Linked DNA regions of Drosophila melanogaster. The protein of the gene in region 1 purifies or fractionates together with the protein of each later gene. This does not show direct contact. Each region holds a gene or a part of one and is shown on either strand. Other genes may lie near its edges. The genes, in order: Mondo and bigmax.

Region 1 (5,093 bases):
GTCAAAGATATGTTTTGTTTTGAGAGTATGAAATCCGGTCCGAAGAATGAGAATGGTTGTTTTCGCGGTGTGTTTTGTTGTTGTGAAAATGCCATGATGGCGCTGAGAATTAAAGAAACGAATTAATTATGATTAATTGGTTCGCTGTTCAGCCCACAGCTGTTTAATGACTTATCACGAGTCATAGTGATAATGAATAGTCGCTACCCTTTTAAAAACACTTTTAATCATTTTACTGTACCTCTTATATTCAAATTAATCTAAGGGTAGACTACATTCATTGAAAACTATGAAAGATAAATGTATTTTTAACATTTTATTACCAAGAGTCAATATTGCCGTGTCCACCACCAAAAAAGTTGAGATTAAGCACGCAAATTTTGATTTTAATTTTCTTTTTGAAAACTTCTTTCTCCCCTCTAGCTTAGTAATATAGTAATTATGTTTTAACATTTTAGGTAAATATAGAATGCAAGGGTAGAGCTGCAATCGCGCAGCCGGTTTAAACAGCTCTGTCCTGGGCTGTGTCCGCTTGGGGTAGTCCTTACTGTGGTGAGTCATCTCATTTTCGCACGTGCAGGCGACTTGCAACGCACATTACTCAACTCCAGTCGGCGATTGCGTCAGCCAATTTCTTTACCTTTACCAGGTGGCATGCCCCACTGAGTTTTGATTTGCCACGTTCGCCCGGTCAATTGAAAATCCATACAAGGCAATGCCACCAACACACGTGCAGCAACAATGAATGAGTAGAACGCCAAGTGCGGCAGTGTGCGTGATAAATTGCGAAATTAGCGAGAATTTAGCTTGGTGTATACTCACTTTTGATTTTTATACGTTTCCATTTTGTTGTGTTTGGGCACCTAGGTGCTGCTTGTTTTTGCTTGCGCGCAAACTATAGAGCCATCTTTAGGTTAATATAAATGCCGAAATCGTGAGAGAAAATAACAATTGAACCTTTTTGCGTTTCATTTGGAACGGTAATGAGTGTTGGAATCAGTGTTACCAGATCGGGAAATGCCTTGCTACTTTCTACTAAATAATCCCACCCCTTTTTCTCACAAATCTAAAGCGCACAAAATCATTCGTAAAGTATTATTAAATGACTATATAAAAATTTTGAACTGAACAGCAATTTCATTAAGAACCTTCTAACAGTACAAATGAAAAAATTCTCTGAAAGTATAATGTCTAATATAAGCCCGAGAAAGGTATTTAAGCAAAAGAACATGGGAGTGCGAAATCCTCTAGTCTGCTGATAAAGAATTAGGCAGTTACACTACTTTGTAACAAGGTGTGCAGTTTGAATACTTATTATTAAATTTTAACCGGAACTAATTCAATGTTTATCGATAGTTTTTTGATGTGTGATCACTAATTTTATTCTGGGTATTCTATTCTCTAACTTAAACAATATAGTGAACATAAAGGGAAAATATCCATTTTACATAATTTTTCCTAATTACTTAAGCACAACAATGTTTAAAAAACACATTACATTTGAGTATAATATATGTATATATTCTAGTTTTTCCTATTAGTCTCAACGCATTAACTTTTTATTGATGCGGTTTCAAGGTGCTGTCGGAAAAAGATATAATAGCAATTCCATAAAACTGGAAACTAATTACGGGAAATAGCCGTCCTAAATTCATTGTATTGCAATTTCGGAGCAGGAAACATATGACCTCGTATGCTGCCCTTCCCAATCTTTACGTTTGGGGTGATTATGCTCATTCTTGCGTTTTTCGGCTCGCAGCTTTCAGCCATTTTTAGGAAGAGGGTGCTGTTTATCAGAGCCACCAAATGCTTGACAACCCTGATGGGATGGTGAGGGCTCGCTACCCGCAATAGGTTAATGTGTGCTATATTGTGATTAAACTACGTAGAAGCTTTGTGTTGCGCGTGTGTGCGTGGTATTGGTAGTCCGTCGTGCCTGCTAACTGCCCGTGTTTCTGCTATAGGGGGCAGTTGCAGTTGTACCGAAATTGTGGTGCGCGTGCATGCGCGTGTATATGAGTGGGAACGGAAAAAGGCAAAATGCAAAGGCAGCGCTGAGCCAGAGGTCAAAAGTGCAAACACAGAACTGCTTGTGGAGTGCATACTCTGGATGGCAAGGCCGAATGCCAGGAGTCAAATCGACTGAGCTCCATATAGTAATAGTGGAGAGGGGGACAACATTGCTGCCTGACATCTGCGCATATAGAAGAACACGTACATACATACATATACATATGTATGTACGTTTTCCTAGCTGATAAGCAACGCTAGCGAGGTAGGGAGAGAGAGAGATTTCGCGTCAGCTGTTCATTGTTGTGTTGTGTGCGGCGCACAGGTTATGTGCGTTTCGCAGCTTCGTTCTCCGATCAGTTCTGTTTGTGGAATGAAACCGATCGTTCTGCGCTGGTTCTGCCCGCCTTGTTGGCCTTCCATCAGATCCGCGTGTGTTTACGAGTAGTTGGGGCTTCACTATCTGTTCAAGGAGCTACAAGCGGCCACTGACGTCTCGTTCTGACGTCCGTATCCCCAGCCAACCCCGCCGCGATTGTGTGTGTGTGTGTGTGTGCGAAAATTGTTGTTATTGTGCTGTGTGACGCATATAACGGCAAAAGCGGGGCGTGTTTGCCATTAGAGAAGCTTCGCTCCGGAAAAAGCAACAATTGGACAGGTGTCGATGACGAAAAGCTGAAGGTGTCGGGCATTGTAAACAAATCAAAATCTTAAAACCGTGCTATGTCTCTATCAAATAATCGCTTATTTTAGTAATTTAGTTAATAGAATGACAAGGACAAACACTAGATGAGAGAATTAATAAATGTGTTAACCACGAGGCAAGACAAAACATATTTTTTTTTATAGTCTGCGAACGTTTACATATTTTGAAATGATGGAAAAACCCCATCCAAATTAAAAAAGGGTCAGCACCAGCTTTTAAAAGCCTTTACTACGCGAGAGACATTAAAAAACCATTAAATGTGCCCTCGCCATATCGACATAATCTGCAACCGCCAAAATTTTGGCTCAACAGTAAACTATTTGCATAGGCATCCCCTGGCACCTGTTGAAAATGATGCTGAATAAACACGAGGGATACCAACGCACAAGCCAAATGTTTCCCCACCAGCAGCACCAGCTGCCTCAGCTGCACCAGCAGCCTTATCTGCAACAGTCTCTGTGCCAAAACTTCCAGCAATTGCAGTACGAAACGGGAGTAGGTGCTTCGGCGTCAGGGTCCGCCGAGGCTACGGCAGACCTGCTCAAGGCGGAGCGGGAGTCTATCCACTCCGGCCAGTTTATGGTCTCGCACTTCGAGGCAGAGGAGGCGCAGGACGACCTAGAGGATGACGGCGAGGTGAAGATGCTAGACCCTGAGGACCCCGGTCTGGGCAAGCCGGGCGAGCCAACCAACACATGTCGTGACGTGCAGCTTTACGTACCCCAAACAGTGGCCCACTTCAGCGCCATGGACCAGGAGGGCGACGAGAGCAGCATGAGCATGGTGACCTCCCACCTGGAGATAGAGACCTCGCTCACCAAACTCTTCAAGTGCATGAATCTGGCCTACAGGTGAGTTGAAGACTCGTACTCGAGACCACAACCGAACACCGGGGCCCTGAAGATTTATGAAATGTTGTTTCCCGCTTGTTCACGCGTTTCGAGCGTGATAACGCTCAACTGGCCAACGAAAATCCAGCAAACGAAAAAGCTTGGACCGCTTCGGTCCCATAATCGCGGCACATGTTGAGACGTGACGTCGCTGCTCAGGTTACTTTGGCCCCACATTGCCTCAATCGCTCCTCTGCCACCCTTTATACCCCTCTTTCTGTTACTTCTCCCATTTCTGCAAACGACAGCGCAATCATAGAGAAAATATTAAAGTATTGCCAAAGCAATATCAGAATGAATTAATTTTGCAAAATGAAATGCAATTTGCTTACAACATATTATTATCTGAGACCTTATCAACTAAAAATCTGAATTGTGAAGCTATTGTTTTTTGTTTTTTTTTAAAGAACGAAAAGGATTTGTTTAAAAAAAGTGTTATACAGTTTTAAATTTTAAATTTGTTTGTTATAATGATGGTTTTTAGTCACTATAAAACAGCTACGGTAGTTGTTTGTATGATCCATATATATACGCGTATTGTTAATAACTACGAATTCGGATTTCCTTACATTTTTCACGACCATGTGATTTCATTGTTGTTTTTCACTAAGTGACTAAGTGCTCTAGGAGAGTGTGCGTTCTCCTGGATGCGCTTTAGCGACTACAATATACACGAGGAAAAATATAAATTTAAATTTATAACATGCTTCATTTTGCACGCCCGCCGGTTGTTTTGATGGTGTTAAGTTTCGATGGAAAGACATTTCCAAACGCTTTTTTTGTCTAAATAACATATTAAAAGAGAGAACAACGTAATTGTTATACGCTTCTACTCTACGATTCTAGATACTAGATTAGTTGAAAAGTATGCAACGGGCGTTTCCGACTTGATCAGGATCTATAGCTGGGTCAATCTAGCCATGTCCGCCTGAACGTCGAGATCTCAGGAACCCTATAAAATCTAGAAGTTTAGCCAAGTTAAAACCGCAACTTTGTTTAGCCATGTTGCCACGCCCACTCTAACACTAGCTGAAAACTGTCACGCCCACACTTTTGAAAAACGTGATCATATTTTTTCACATTTTTATTAGTCTTGTAAATTTCTAACGATTTGGAAAAAAATTGTTTTCCACGCCCACTCTAACGCCCTAAACCGCCCAAAACTGCCACGCCCACATTTTTGAATAATTTTTTCATTTTTTAATTAGTCTTGTACATTTCTATCCATTTACAACAAAACTTTTTACCACGCCTATTCTAACGCCCTAAAACCGCACAAAACTGGCACGCACACATTTTTGAAAAATTGTTGGATATTATTTCATAATTTTAAATTTCTATCGATTTTCCAAAAAAACTTTTTGCCACCACCACTCAACGCCATAAAGCTGCCAGTCTTTAGAACAATTTTTAAATGTATTCTCATTTTATTCCCCAATATCTATCGATATCCCAGAAAAATTTTGAAATTTGGCGTTCGAATCACT
Region 2 (3,697 bases), on another chromosome or scaffold:
GGAACCCAGTGAGCTGGACTACGACGAATTGGGCTGCTTGCTGCCCAAGGCTTGCGAGCACATGCTGAGGTGCTGTGATCGCCAGGAGGTCACGTCATCCATCATACTCTTTCTGGCCTTCTTGTCCAAGGTCGAGCACTTGCGTACGTCGGGCGGGAAAGAGCCAAATCCCCTGCTCATTCGCTTCCGCCGACTCAGTTGGCATTTGTTGCGGCACAAATGTGATCAGGTCCGCCAACTGGCGGCCACCTGCTTTGTGCGGTCGCACGAATTCCGCTGCGATCTGCCGGCGGCGCTGCTGGCCAGCGCCAAGTTGGCCGCGAATCTGGAGGAGGAGAACTTCTACGAGGGACTGATTTACACGCTGACATCGGGCGTGCTGAAACTAAAGCACGAAGCACGTCATGTGTGGAGCGCGGGACGTCTGGAGGGATTCCTTGAAGCGCTGCTCACCGCGCTGGATGTCACTGAGCGAGTTCGTCGCTTCAAGCCGTACACACGGAATGTGCTGCTGGAACTGCTAGGCCAGCTGGGTAGTGCGGATAAAGCGGCTCTCGTCGAGTCTCTCGGCTAGCATTAGCAAATCTAGTTTTATCTAATCTTTAATCATTAAGCCAAAAAGTTATCTTTCCTTGTCAACGCTTTTACAACTATTCAAATGACGCATTTAATGTTTGTACGCAGTAAACGTAACGAAAGTATCTACCAAACAGGGATTTCTAAAATAACCAATGAGAATATGAACTAACCGCGCGATCAGCTGAAACCCTCGCTCGACTCCTGCTCCATGGCCTGAAGTTCCTGTTTTTCCATAGCCTCCTGCGCCATTTGCTGCAAGGTACGACTGAGTATGTTGCGCAGGATGTGCGGCTTGCAGTGCTCCTCCAGCCAGGGGATAATGCCGGTGGTCAGCTGCTTAAAGTTCTCCATGGGTATGTGTTGAAATGTCTCGAACATTTCCTCCATAATGGCCTGGAACTACGGAGGAGGGTGGTGGGTGGCGATTCTAGAGGTTATAATAGAGGTAAGCGCTCCATACTTACCACTTGAAACTTGGCCTCATCGGTGAGTCGTGCCTCCTCCGGCCCTGGATTCGCCTGCTGATGCTGTAGCATGTTCTCATAGCCGTTCTTAATGATCCGTAACGCTGTTACCTCCTTTTGTAGCGCCGATCCCTCGTCCTCCTGCTTGAGTTTCTGCTGGTTAAGGTAGCCAATGTATTCGATGGACTTCTGCAGGATCAGAGCCTTGCTGAGCTTGTAGCCGGAGGAGTCGTTGGGCTGGCAGCGCGGCACCAGCTCCTGCAGACTGTCGTAGCCCTTCTTAATGGCATCGCGCCGCTTCTGCTCCGCCTGGGTGTGCGCCTCCCTTCTCCGCTCCTTGTAACTCAGCGTGGAATTGGCGGCCGCGGAATGGCGCGCATCGCCGCTATCGTCGTCGTCGTCTGCGATACAGAACCGAAACATGAGTACAATGTAATAAAATGCTGCTGATAGCGAGTAATTCAATGCCACTGCTTTATCAGCTGCCCCCGCCCCGCACTCTTGACCGATCAGCGTGACCGATCTTGACCAGCGTTCGCCCACCTGAATTGTGCGCCGAGGAGTTCGGAGTGTGCGTGCTGCCCGCACTGCTGCACCGCGAGTAGTGCTTGCTGGTGTGGTCCTGGTCGTGCTCCATGCCGAAAACGTCTTCCTTGGTGGCCAACGCGTTGTTATTATCGCTCATCGTCAACTGCGACGTTTTGGAATTCCCAAAACAAAAACACTAGCAGCGGTGTGACTGTCGCAAGGTAGCGCGAAAAGCCTTCGGTATCTGATGGTCACATTCAACATTGTGCGATAGTTTTAAGGAATTTTTAAAACAGTTATCAGGTACCAGGCTAACAGGTACTTTAATTATGATGTTATTCAACCAACTATGCTTGTTATAATTTGCATCCCTAATAACATAGTTTTTAGAAACTGCATACAATTAATTTTTGTAGCAGAGTGTAAGATGTGGTACGTTCAATCAACGAATGATAGTCATATCGATATTTCGGCCACCTCTACCGGTCCGGATGATGACTTTTACGTTTTTTTCTTGTTGAACTTTGCCGTCGTGTCGCTTTCTTCGGGGTTATTGCTTAAATTTAGCGGGTTTTTGGGCTGTAATTTGTGATCGGCGGACGCACAAGGAATCAATCATGGGCCTGCTATATGCGCTGCGCGTGAGGATCATGAACTTCATGATTTTCTTCCTCCTCATCATCCTAATGCCCGGTCTGCCGCCGCGCACCACCTTCCCCTTCAAGGACTATATGTAAGTGCCGCCCGTTTCAATTGACGTAATTCCCGTGTTAATCCTTGGAGAAATCGCCACTTCGTACAGTGTGACCCCGCCCAAAGACCTGAAGGGTGCGCTGGAATCGAACTTTCACCTGGAGGGAGCGGAGCGACTGCTGGAGGGGCGGGTCTACGGCCCGGAGTGCCTGATAGCCCGCAACAACGAGATCTACACCGGCATCCACGGCGGTGAGGTCATCAAGCTAACGTCCAACCATGTCACGCATGTCACCAAGATCGGCCAGCCCTGCGGTGCGTATTTTCGAGTCCTATAAAGGGAATTTCATTTTATAATAGTAATCCCCTTGCAGAGGACATCTACGAGGAGTCCCGGTGCGGCCGTCCGCTGGGACTGGCCTTTGATACGCAGGGCAACAACCTCATCATCGCCGACGCCTACTACGGCCTGTGGCAGGTGGACCTGGGCACCAATAAGAAGACTCTGCTGGTCTCGCCCGCCCAGGAGCTTGCCGGCAAGTCCATCAACCGCCCTGCCAAGATTTTCAACGGCGTGACCGTGAGCAAAGAGGGCGACGTCTACTGGACGGACTCCTCGTCGGACTTCACCATCGAAGACCTCGTCTTTGCCAGCTTTGCTAACCCCTCCGGCCGGTGAGTTCATCGCAAATTATAGCGACACTGTCTAATATTGCTAGAATTCAAAGTGATAGCTATTCGGAATAGGGCTACAGTGGGACCCCATTACAATGTATTTCTTTATAAAACGTGTTTTGTGACCCATTTAAGATTATTTCAAATGTTTGTAGCGGAGGAATCGAGGGAGTCACTTAATTAATCTCAATTAAGAGTCCACGCTTACTGAAGTTAGCTTAATTCTTATAATTAAGGGACAAGTTACAGAAGTATGACTGTAAGACGAACGCAAACCGGTTTCTCGATCTGGTCTTATGGTTACTCTAACGGCCTTTGCTTTCTTCTACGTTCCAGTCTCTTCAAATACAATCGCTCGAAGAATGTTAGCGAGGTGCTGCTGGACGAACTGGCTTTCGCCAATGGATTGGCCCTCAGTCCCAACGAGGACTTCATCGTGGTAGCCGAAACCGGAGCGATGCGTCTGACAAAGTATCACCTGAAGGGAGCGAAGGCCGGTCAGAGCGAGGTGTTCGTCGACGGACTGCCCGGTTTGCCCGATAACCTGACACCCGACGCCGAGGGCATCTGGGTGCCATTGGTCCAGAGCGCGGATAGCGAGCATCCCAACGGCTTCACCCTGTTCACTCGCTTCCCCAGCGTGCGCCTGTTCCTGGCCCGCATGCTGGCTTTGTTCGAGCTGCCCTTCCGCTACTTGAACAGCGTATATCCGAACAAGTTCTCGCAGCGATTCGTTCACTTCGTGGGACACATGGAGA

Evidence for each region.
Region 2: the proteins of Mondo (region 1) and bigmax purify together in Drosophila melanogaster (affinity purification with western blotting, with the first as the bait; one study listed by BioGRID). This does not show direct contact.

Annotation. Positions count from the first base shown.
Region 1 is NT_033779.5:21,306,762-21,311,854, reverse strand, and holds the start of Mondo (mondo), read left to right. Parts: upstream 1-1,804; 5' UTR 1,805-1,916; exon of another isoform or gene 1,917-2,916; 5' UTR 2,917-3,067; coding exon 3,068-3,567; intron 3,568-5,093.
Region 2 is NT_033777.3:27,286,742-27,290,438, forward strand, and holds bigmax (bigmax), read right to left. Parts: upstream 1,786-3,697; 5' UTR 1,729-1,785; coding exon 1,587-1,728; intron 1,445-1,586; coding exon 1,044-1,444; intron 979-1,043; coding exon 757-978; 3' UTR 625-756; downstream 1-624. Other genes in the region: CG3368 (uncharacterized protein), read left to right, coding at 1-574; Hmu (hemomucin), read left to right, coding at 2,189-2,304, 2,374-2,579, 2,639-2,939, 3,276-3,697.